2 linked regions of the Caenorhabditis elegans genome follow. The protein of the gene in region 2 purifies or fractionates together with the protein of the main gene of each other region. This does not show direct contact. Each region holds a gene or a part of one and is shown on either strand. Other genes may lie near its edges.

What was found. Proteins that work in one complex are often made in the same cells at the same time.
Region 1: the proteins of fkb-6 (region 2) and sdz-8 fractionate together in Caenorhabditis elegans (co-fractionation; one large-scale study listed by BioGRID). This does not show direct contact.

What each region holds. Positions count from the first base shown.
Region 1 is NC_003283.11:11,513,808-11,519,451, forward strand, and holds sdz-8 (C-factor), read right to left. Parts: upstream 2,385-5,644; 5' UTR 2,372-2,384; coding exon 2,243-2,371; intron 2,192-2,242; coding exon 2,024-2,191; intron 1,861-2,023; coding exon 1,507-1,860; intron 1,448-1,506; coding exon 1,346-1,447; 3' UTR 1,279-1,345; downstream 1-1,278. Other genes in the region: C55A6.6 (DeHydrogenases, Short chain), read right to left, coding at 26-127, 175-528, 580-747, 795-923; C55A6.4 (DeHydrogenases, Short chain), read right to left, coding at 2,896-2,997, 3,042-3,395, 3,604-3,771, 3,826-3,954.
Region 2 is NC_003283.11:20,843,126-20,849,234, forward strand, and holds fkb-6 (peptidylprolyl isomerase), read left to right. Parts: upstream 1-3,032; 5' UTR 3,033-3,054; coding exon 3,055-3,268; intron 3,269-3,312; coding exon 3,313-4,211; intron 4,212-4,259; coding exon 4,260-4,442; 3' UTR 4,443-4,602; downstream 4,603-6,109. Other genes in the region: F31D4.2 (Sugar phosphate phosphatase), read right to left, coding at 6-470, 971-1,127, 1,782-1,936, 1,980-2,132, 2,184-2,289, 2,343-2,401; clec-264 (C-type lectin domain-containing protein), read right to left, coding at 4,623-4,785, 4,839-5,057, 5,737-6,066.

The DNA.
Region 1 (5,644 bases), 9.3 Mb from region 2:
ATTTTCTCAGTTTTGAACTTTTGATTCAAAATTGGAATGGTGTTAGATTTCTCTGGAAATATCGTCCATTGTGAGAGTTGTCCAGCTTATTGAAACTGGAAACTAGTTCAGAAGTGGACTGCTCTACCTGAAAATTAGTTCGATAAGTGTCAGACTAAAAAAAACCTCACTCACAGTGAGCATCGCTTCTTGCCCTCCCATATCAGTTTGAACCCATCCTGGACAAAAGTTAACCACCAAAATGTGATCATCTTGCAGATCAATTGCCAAAGTCCTACCAAACATATTAACTGCAGCCTTACTCATTCTGTATGCCAAACTATCGAATACTGCTGATCCTGTAGTGTTTTCAGTAATTGATCCGAGTCCAGATGAGATAGTGATTACAGCAGCACGTGAAACGGAAAGTTGATCTCCAGAAACTTTGGATGCAGCTCTTGTTAAAAGTGGTAATAGTTTTTGAGTTAGTATCACAACACTTGTTGTGTTGACATCTAGTTGCTCAGCAATCATTGAACGGTTTGGTTTCTGAGTAGGACAAAGGATAACTGAAGAATGTCATACATTTTCAAAACGTACAGTTTTTGTGAGATATTTGACAGCAATTCCCGCGTTGTTGACAAGTAAATTGAGTCCATCAGATCCAACTATTTCTTCAACTTTTGTCACAAAAGAATCAATTGATTTATCACAAGTTACTATCAATGGAAGAACATGAACATGTGGATCATTGATAGCTTTTAAATCCTGAATATTGAGAATAATATTTAGCTCAAAATGTAATAATCACTTACAGTAGCCTTTTCAACATCTCTAACAGTTGCAATAATATGAAGAATATTCTTATCTTTCACGAATTCTTGAACAAGTCCAAGTCCGATTCCACGATTTGCTCCAGTAATGACAACACTTTTTGGAGACATAATGAACCTGAATACCTGAATTTAATTAATCAGACTGTCTTTGGGGAGAACTAATTGAACTTGTATACAAAATTGGTCAAAGATCGGAAAGGAAGAGGCAACAGAAAGTCTCAAAAAATGGCATAGACGAGCAACAAAGTAAATAGAAATAGAGGAAGAGGCACAGAAAATGAAACAAAATCTGTAGTTCGTTTGTAGTCAAAAGGAAACAAACACTTCCCACAAAAAATTATTGAAATGGCTTTCCTAGTTCATTTTCCAATTGTAAATTGCACACAAACATTGAAAATTGATGAAAATAGTTTTCATGGCAATTTACCATAGTAAGAAACTGGTTTTCGACAACGACAAAAGGTAATTTTAGTTTGTTTATTTTCAATTAACTTCCGATGCAAAAAAGGTGGGAAAAAAATAAAAAGATTTTAGAATTCATATGGCTTCAAATTTCTCATAAAGAATCTTCCATTGTGAGAGTTGTCAAGCTTATTGAAACTGGAAATCAGCTCGGCGGTGGATTGTTCAACCTGAAAAATGATCGGAATAACAATTTCTAAACTGATAATTAATCGATTCGTTTACTTACCGTGAGTGCTGCATTCTTCCCTCCTAAATTGGTTTGCACCCATCCTGGACAGAAGTTAACAACCAACACATTATCATCCTTCAAGTCAACAGCAAGAGTTCTTCCGAACATATTGATAGCAGCTTTGCTCATTCTGTAGGCGAGAACTGGGAATTGTGCAGATCCAGATGTGTTGTCAGTGATGGAACCAAGTCCAGATGAGATAGTGATTACAGCAGCACGTGAAACGGAAAGTTGATCTCCAGATTCTTTGGATGCTGCATTTTTGAGCAGTGGTAATAACTTTTGAGTGAGAAGGACCACACTAGTCGTATTTACATCTAGTTGTTCGGCGATGACGGCACGGTTAGGCTCCTTCAAAATTGGCCATATTAATAATTATTATAAGATGCATAAATGTCTAATGAAATATACTTTTGAATGAAATCGAAATTCTTATTTTTTAGTTAATAATCAAATACTGAACAACTTTTAAAAACAATCAAAGAAAAAATAACATGTAACTATCATAACGTACCGTATTCGTTCCGTAGCTCAGCAGAACTCCAGCGTTATTTATCAGCAAGCTGAGCCCATCAGATCCAACAATTTCTCCAACTTTCGACACAAAAGTGTCAAGTGATTTATCACAAGTGACTGTCAATGGAAGTACATGAACACGTGAATCTTTAATAGATTTCAATTCCTAAAAAAACACTTTGGGATGACTAGCTCACTTGTAGAAAAAAAAACTTACAGTAGCCTTCTCAACGTCTCTAGCAGTTGCAATAATATGACGAATGTTCTTATCTTTGACGAGTTGCTGGACAAGTCCAAGTCCAATACCACGGTTGGCTCCGGTCACAACAACACTTCCTGGCGACATTTTTTTAAATTTTCTGTAAAAGTGAATAATTTGAGAACAAAACTATTGTTTCCATGATTAAAAAAGCAGAAACAAGCTTGAGATATTTGAAGACACAAAATCTGTTTTTCTATATAGAAAAGTCTCTTATATACGGAGAACACCAGGGTCAAAATGTAGGAGACCACAGCGAAAATGATGACATTGGAGTAAAATAGATGACTAAATAGCGACAGCTGGAGAGACGCGGGCATCGTAGTGACATTGTAGTTACACCGTATTGAAGTAAATACGAAGACATTTATATTTAGAAAAACAAATAAATATGCCGATATTTAGAAAATAAAATAAACATGTTTTGAAATACAAGAAAAACTACATAAACTTTTATTGAATCTACAATAGAAATAAACTAAACAATTGGACGCTTTGAATCAAATTGATCTTTCGTCACAAAAAGTGGTCACAAAATTTTGTGGTTTTGGATTTAATTTTTTTGGAATTGAGAAAAACCTATTTGAAAACGAGTATTTCGAGAAATGCACTTAAAAAGGATACGGTGTGAGATCTTTTTGGAAGAATCCTCCATTGTGAGAATTGTTGAGCTTGTTGAAGCTGGCCACTAGTTCGGCAGTTGATTGTTCAACCTGGAAATTAATTTAATTTATATTTTAAAACTTTCTAAGCTCACCGTCAAAAGGGCCTTCTCTCCTCCCATATCAGTCTTCACCCATCCAGGACCAATACTGGCTACCAGAATATGATCATCTTTCATATCATTTGCAAGAGCTCTACCAAACATATTAATGGCAGCTTTGCTAATTCTGTAAGCAAATGCATTTGGAGCATGGCCTCCTGTGGCAAAATCAGTCATTGATGCAAGTCCAGATGAGATAGTGACTACAGCAGCACGTGAAGCGGAAAGTTGATCTCCAGACACTTTTGAGGATGCCTTGATGAGAAGTGGCATCAGTTTTTGAGTGAGAATAACCACACTGGTCGTGTTCACATTCAGCTGCTCGGCAAACAGTGCACGGTTTGGTTTCTGAAAATTTGATATTTTAATGGATAAATTATATCTGTGTATTTCTTCCCCGACTATCACCCGAATAATGTAAAATTGATTGTGTTTGAAAACTTTCAGAAAAAATTGGACAACACGTTGACAAATCTTCACTGTTAGTGAGCTTTGGAAATAGTCAACTAATCCATTTCCTAATTTAATCTTGTACCCGAACTTTTTTTAAACATACCGCTTTACATGGATAATCCACCGCGTTTCCCGCATTATTGACAAGCAGGTTAAGTCCATCAGATCCAACAATTTCTTCAACTTTTGAGACAAAAGTATCCATTGATTTATCACAAGTAACTTCCAATTGGAGAGCAGTAACACGAGGATCACTAATTGCTTTCAAATCCTGAAACGTTTTTTGTGCCCGAAATATCAGACATTGAAAAAAAAATTAACTTACTGTTGCTTTCTCAACATCTCTAGCAGTTGCAATAATATGACGAATATTCTTATCTTTCACGAATTCTTGAACAAGTCCAAGTCCGATTCCACGATTTGCTCCAGTAATGACAACACTTTTTGGAGACATGACTGAGGACGAAAAATCAGACTAATCGAAAGGAATATAACAAGACATGTTAACGTGGAACAAAATTCACCACATAAAAGCTCACGGGAAAAATAGTTCAAAAAAAATCTCCACGTTAAAACACAAACAGTTTGCATCTTCTCGCGAAACACTTATTCTCAGCGATCGAAGGTCAGAAAATAGATGACATTGATTTTCCGAAAAAAGAAAAAAGTGTAGAGTGATAACTGGAAACAAACAAAATGTCATCCGTTTATTGAGACTGATTGAAAAGTCTTGAATCATGAAAAAAATGACATAACTTTATGACTGTTTGAGAAACAGAAAACTCTCAATGTTTTTAGAATGAGTGTGGATTGAGGTTTCTGTCAAAGTATCTTCCACTGTGAGAGTTGTTTAGTTTGTAGAAACTGGCAGTTAACTCTGTTGTTGATTCTTCAACCTAAAAGCAAAATTTGTGAAAATTAAGAGCTAAAGTGTAAGAATCACTTACAGTGTAGGTAGCCAGTGGTCCTCCTAATCCAGTTTGAACCCATCCTGGACAGAAGTTGACCACCAAAATATGATCATCTTTCAGATCAATTGCCAATGTTCTACCAAACATATTAACTGCAGCCTTGCTCATTCTGTATGCTAGCACATCTGGAGGGAAAGTTGATGTTTTTTTTTAAACTACACTTGTAGTGTTGACATCAAGTTGATTGGCAATCAATGAACGGTTTGGCTCCTGAAAATATTAAAAGTTTAATCATCTCAACCAATAATTAACGAACCGATTTGTTATTGTATTTGGTGATTATCCCTGCATTATTAACAAGCAAATTGAGACCCTCCGATCCAACAATTTCTCCAACTTTGATCACAAAATCATCAATTGATTTATCACAAGTCACTGTCAAGGGAAGAATGTGGATCCGGGGATCCTTGATAATTCTGAGATCCTATAAATTCTCATTAAGAAGTGAAAACCTGAGTTTGCCAATGAACTGTTGAGATGAGAGAAACTAGGTAAATCAAAGAGGTTTGGTCATTTCGCTACATAAATCACAAATATACAGTGCTCCACATAATGATACGGCCACCCCCAAATTTTGGTATAACTCAAAACTGGGTTGAGATAGCAAAACATAGTTTCTTGTGAAAATGTTCGCTGTACTGGCTAACTTTCAGATAAGTATTGGAAATATACATGAACCGTTCGTAAAAAAAGATAAACCATTTTTTGATGAAAAACCATATAAAAAAATCCACAAAATGATACGGCCACCCTTGGTTTTTGTTTTCTTTTTTCGTTTTTTTTTGCAATTTTTTTTTGCTAAACGTTAGGTTTCATGCTCGTTTGTGTTTTTACAGCTATGTGTCGTGGAATAACTTTAACTGACTACGAAAAAGGACAAATTGTGCAAAATTATCTCAAGGCTTCTCGGATCGTCAGATTTTTCGTGATTTGAAACGTTCAAGAGATATGATCATTCGATATGCTTCAAATCCTGCCGCTTATTGCACCAAATTTTGAAATTTTTGCATCTTGATCTTTTAGGTCCCCATATCTGATTGTTTACTTCAATGTTAATTCTATTTCAATACTTTATCAGAAAGAAGTTTCTAAGAAGTTTGATACAACACATAAACAATACAGATTTAAATAAAACCAAGAAGAACACAGTGAAAGTAAATCAGTCGTACAACA
Region 2 (6,109 bases):
CTCACATTTTTCAAATCATCATACAAATCGCGAGCTTCCTTCTCCATAGCATAATAAGCATGTGGGGATATCCAGAAAAGATGGTCTTGATACACAATTTGGCCCGATTTCATCCGTTTTTCGAGTTTTTCTCCCAATGCTCGACTCTCTTCTCCAATATTTTCACCATTTTTCAGCTGTTCAATTGTCCAATCGAGATCAGGTTTAGTGACGTCACTCACGAACCACGGGATCGCTTTTCCATGAATTACAACTTTATCGGCAAAACCACGAGAGATGAAAAACTCGGCGACGATCAGGTCTCCAGTCAATTCGACTCCAGAATTATCGAGAATTATGTCGATTCTTCGATTAGTTTCGTGATTTGCATTGATTTTTAATGGACCAAGAACCTTCACAATCATATCGTTGACATCGTCGATAAGTACGAAATCTGCTAGTTTTGAAGAAGCCGACATTGATGACATCGCCTGTAAATAGGTAACAAAATTTGTTAATAGAATTCATTTTCAGGTTCCAAACATTGGTGTGCGGATAACCGATTTTTCGGCAAACGGATAAATCGGTTAATGCTGGTTTAGAAAAACCGGCTAACGGATAATTCGGCAATTTCAGAAAATATTCATATGGTTAAGCTTTTTTTCGTTCTTTCTGTCAATTCAGGTTTTGGGTTAATTTTTTCACTGTTATTGAGCAAAACCAAAAAAAATCAAATAGAAAAAAACTCATATAAATTCAAAAAATTTTGTTTTCCAAAAAAATGTGTTGGCTAACATCAGCCAAAGTCGGCTACCGGAAAACTTTAAATTAGCCAAACTGCCAAAAAGTCCGCGAATTCGGCTAATTGGTAAAAAACTCGGCAAGCAGATCATTCGGCTAATATTAGCCAAATCAGCCAATCGGTAAATTCGGCTAAATCAGTTATTAGCCGCACACCCCTGGTTTCAAACTGTTCCGCATAATAATTTACCAAGGTATGATCGTCTCCACCAGTCAATGACATATCAGCTCGGTTTCCCCACAAGCTCATTTTCAGTATTGTGTTGATTCCGAATAGTTCATGAACTGGAGCATCTTTCGCTGAGATTTTATTGATAAATGCCGCCGACTCTTCGATTTGTGGGAGGCTGAAATGATTATTTTCAACTTTTCGATGAGAAAATAAATTTTGTGATTTTTTCCACCAAAAATACTTTTTGTTATTGCAAACAAAAGTGTGCGCCTTTAAAAAGTACTGTAATTTCAAACATTTTTTCCTGTCTAATTTTGATCGATTTTTTTAATGCTTTTTGATAGAAATGCATTTATTATTGAAAATTTCGAAATTGAAAATTTCCGGCAAATGGGCAAACCGGCAGATTGCCGAAAATTTTGGGCAAATTGTACGCATCCTATGAATGTTCATAGATCTATTGTGAAAAGTAAACAAATTCTATAAAAATAGCTGAAGAAAACGGAAAAAATTATATAAAGGCACAGTTTTAAGTGTTTCCGTCTTATAAAAAATCTCTCTGAGCATTTTCGGCAAATCGACAAGCCGGCAAATTGCCGGAAAAGAGAATTTCCGGCAAATCGGCAAACCGACATTTGTCGGAATTGAAAATTTGCGGCAAATGTGCAATTTGACAAACATTAAAATTTCTGGCAAACCGGCAATTTGCTGATTTGCCGAACGGTAATTGCCGCCCACCACTGAATCAGAGTACTCCTATAGTTTTGGATTACTGATAAAAACCAATTTTTCTTCTAAACAATCGAATTGCCACAGAAAAAATTCTTACTGATCTAGGAAATTTTTGCGCTTCGAGTCCTGGAAATAATCATATTCGCTGAGGCGAATAGTTTTTGCAAACGTGCTCCAGATGAATCTGTAGAGCCAGCACTCAACAAAAAGCCATGGTCCTTTGAAAAAAGTGAGATCTTCAACTTCGTCGGGCTGAAAAAATCATTAATTAATTGAATTCAAGAGAATTATTTACCATTGCAGCAGTTCTCATGTCGCTGAGCAAATTTCTCCACATTTCAGAATCCAACTGGGTGTCCATTAGATTGCAAAGTGGCTTGTCAGTCATGATTTCATATCGAAGCTTTGAAAAAACTTCTAAAATAGCTGCAATATCTGATTCAACTTCCTGAAAGAAAATACAATTATAATTTGATTTTAATTCAATATATTTACGAACACTGCCATATTTCTCAATAAGGCTCGCTCTTTTTTGAGCCAATTGATCGACTAGCCCAGTAACAATCTTCGGCCATCGGTCTCTTACAGTGTAATAGGCGAACGTGCTGAAAAATTGTAATTTACAAACTTTAAAGTCGAAAAATCAATAGAAACCAACCCCTCCTTCTTCCCGCGTAGTTTCGGCGCCAAGTGATCGTACTCGTCGGCGTTCTCCATCACTCACAGAGGTTTTATTACTGAAAATTGAGTTTTCATACAATTTTCGACTGAAAAACGTTAAGAAACATGAAAAATTCCAAGGAAATCGATGTGCCTCGAAAAATCGAACATTTTGGGGTACGGTCAACAATGGCAAACGGCGTTTTCTGTGCAAACACGCGCAAGTGAGTTGCGTACTTGGCGCTCTAAATGACGCGCAAAGAATTGGAATGTTCTAGAGCTCACTTTACGTGATTTTCAAGTTATATGAAGTAATTTTACGTTAATCTCATTCGAATTTACTTTTTTCTGCTGCGTTCTCTTATTGATGTTCGCCTACCGTCATTGTTCAGATCAGGGCTGCGCGACGAACACACAAAACGGCTTATCCAAAGTTAATGTAGAGATGTAGAAAAATATTTGTTCCAGCTTAAAATGGCCTTCAAAAAAGCCTTCAAAAACGCTTCAAATAGTGCTTGAATGTGTCTTTTTGTAGCTTTTCAACAAAAGTAAATGTTATTTTCAGATAGAACAAAGCTTTTTCTACATTTCTACATTAATTTTGAAATAAGCAGTTTTGTGCGTTTTCTGGAAAAAGCGCCGCACAGCCCTGGTTCAGATTTCAATAACTTTATTTTAATATTTTCAGGTAAATTAGCGAGATTCGCAAGATGTCCGGCGAAAAGATCGATATCACCCCAAAGAAGGACGGTGGAGTGTTGAAACTCATCAAGAAGGAGGGTCAAGGAGTTGTCAAGCCAACCACTGGAACGACCGTGAAGGTGCATTACGTCGGAACTCTTGAGAATGGAACCAAATTCGATTCATCCAGAGATCGCGGTGATCAATTCTCATTCAATTTGGGAAGAGGAAATGTGATTAAAGGTATTCAGAGTAATGTTAGCGTGTAGAAAATCATCAATTTCCAGGTTGGGATCTCGGTGTTGCCACAATGACCAAAGGCGAGGTGGCGGAATTCACAATTCGCTCGGATTATGGATATGGAGACGCGGGATCACCACCGAAGATTCCAGGAGGGGCAACGCTGATCTTCGAAGTGGAGCTTTTTGAATGGAGCGCCGAGGATATCTCTCCGGACAGGGATGGGACGATTCTTAGAACGATTATCGTCGAAGGATCCAAAAACTCTTTCCCAAATGACACCAGCAAGGTTTTGGCACATTGCGTCGGAACCTATCAAGGCACGGAGTTCTACAATCGTGAAGTGAACTTCCACATCGGAGAAGGTTCGGAAGAAGGCCTTCCGGAAGGTGTCGAGCGGGCTTTGCGTCGTTTCCAGCTTGGAGAAAAGTCAAAAATTGAAATTCGCGGTCATAAGTACACCTACGGAAACTCTCCACCTGCTGGATCAAATATTCCAGTCAATGCTACTCTTGAATTCACAATTTTCCTGAAGGAGTTCGAAAAAGTTCCAGCGACTTGGGAAATGACTGCAGAGGAGAAGCTTGATGCTGCGAAACAAGCCAAAGATCGTGGAACCATGTACTTGCAGAAGGGAAATCTCAAATTGGCCTACAACAAGTACAAGCGGGCCGAGGAAGTGTTGGAGTATGAAAAGTCAACTGATCCCGAGAAGATGGCCGAAAGAGAGACAATTTTGAACGGAGCGTATCTTAATTTGAGTCTGGTTTGTTCGAAGCAAAACGAGCAATTGGAGTGCATCAAGTGGTGCGATAAGGTCCTGGAAACGAAACCAGGAAACGTCAAGGCACTGTATCGCAAAGCAACTGCCCTCTTGACCATGAACGAAGTCCGAGATGCCATGAAGTTGTTCGAGAAGATTGTGGAAGTAGAGCCGGAGAATAAGGTTTGCAGGAAATCTGTTGAGTTTATAATTTGTAATATATTAATTCAGGCCGCCGCTCAACAAATCATCGTCTGCCGTAACACGATCCGCGAGCAAAACGAGCGTGACAAGAAGCGCTTCAAGAATCTATTCGCCAAAATCTCCACAGAAGAAGACAAGCCAACCAACACTGTTGAGGATGAAGATGAAATCGTTGCATCCACGTCTGGAAGCTCTACTTCCAATGCTTAGATAACCTCTCTCTCCCAGTATCCCCTATTTATTCGTAATGTGTTTTCATTGTGATCTCTCTTCCCCAGAATTCAAGCTATTGTTTTCCCTTTTATTGATATCGCATATCATGGTAGTTGTATACTGTAATATTTATTTAAATTAAGATTTATTGCTCTGTACATGTACAATCCAGTCAGGTTAGATAATTATTTCGTCTCCCAGGTTCCCATCCGGAATACAATTGTATTCAAAGGCCCAGTGGTTAGATGCATTGAACTGCTCTCCGGTGTCATAAGAGATGAACATCGAGTTCTGCGTAGTTTTTATGAGATCCACAGAGCTTGGAGAGAATTGACGGAATCTATAATCACTTTTTAATTCTTTAAAATTACAATTTCAATCAAAGTCACTCACATTTTCAACTTTCCCGCGGTTTCATCGTTTCCATTAAATATCTTGACTCGATCGGATTTATCCAGCTGCATCGCCTTCAATTTCAGTGCCACGTGATGAGCAATTGGACATTGAATGAGATAGTATTGGATGAGGAAGGAATCCGGAGAATTTGGATAATTGTTCGATGTAACTGTGCCAAAAGAGTTCGATGAGAACACTTTCACAGGAAGTGGACGTCTGGAAATTGAAGATTTTCGGATAAAATTCAAAATCGAATTTTTTGAACTGGATTTGAAAAAAAATTCGAAAATTTCTAAAACCATCGACTTTATTACATGAACACAGAATTCTGAGAATGCGTATTGCACAACATATTTGACGCGTAAAATATCTCGTCACGAAAACTACAGTGATTCTTTAAATGACTATAGTATACTGTAGCGCTTGTGTGTCGATTTACGGGCTCATTCGTTTCTTCGCATTATTTTCTAATTATTAACTTAATTTCAATACTTTTTCGATAAATAAATGTGTTTTAATCCATTTGAGCTCGTAAATCGACACAAGCGCTACAGTAGACATTTAAAAAATTACTGTAGGTTTCGCTACGAGATATTTCAAATATGTTGCGCAATACGTATTCTCAGAATTTTGTGTGTGTGTGTTTTTTTTTAGTAATATCTGAACATTAAAAAAAATTGAAATGTTTTCTTTATATTGAAATTTTTCTGAAGAAAACGGAAAACGGAACTTTAAAAAAGATGTTCCTTTTTGGGAAATCGAGTATTTTCAGTTTTCTGAAAAAAAAACAAAAAAAATTTAATTTTCTGAAAATAGCAGAAAAAGAAGAAAAAACTTTTTTTTGAAAACCTAAAGTAAAAAATTAATAAAACTAATGAAAAGTGTATAAACCTACAGTATCTTGTATCTCATAACGAAACCTTTTCCAATATTATCCTCATCAGACTTGAAATTAATCATAACATGATTTCGATTACTGATAACTGAGTGATTACGATGTGAACCAGAAAGACGGAAAAGTGTTCTTCCAGAAATACCGTAATCATCAGTTACGGTAATAATATCACAATTATGTTCTGTATCCACTTCTTCAAAATACATTAATATTCTTGTTCCAGGCTCTGACTTTATAATGTGTGTATCATATTCCAGATTTTCATACGAATTTGGCCAATTTGGACTGACGATTGTGCCCTCTTCGTCTCTGTGCCACGTGGTTATTATCCTGAACTTTTTTTTAAATTTTAGATTTGGATTTTTATGTTCAT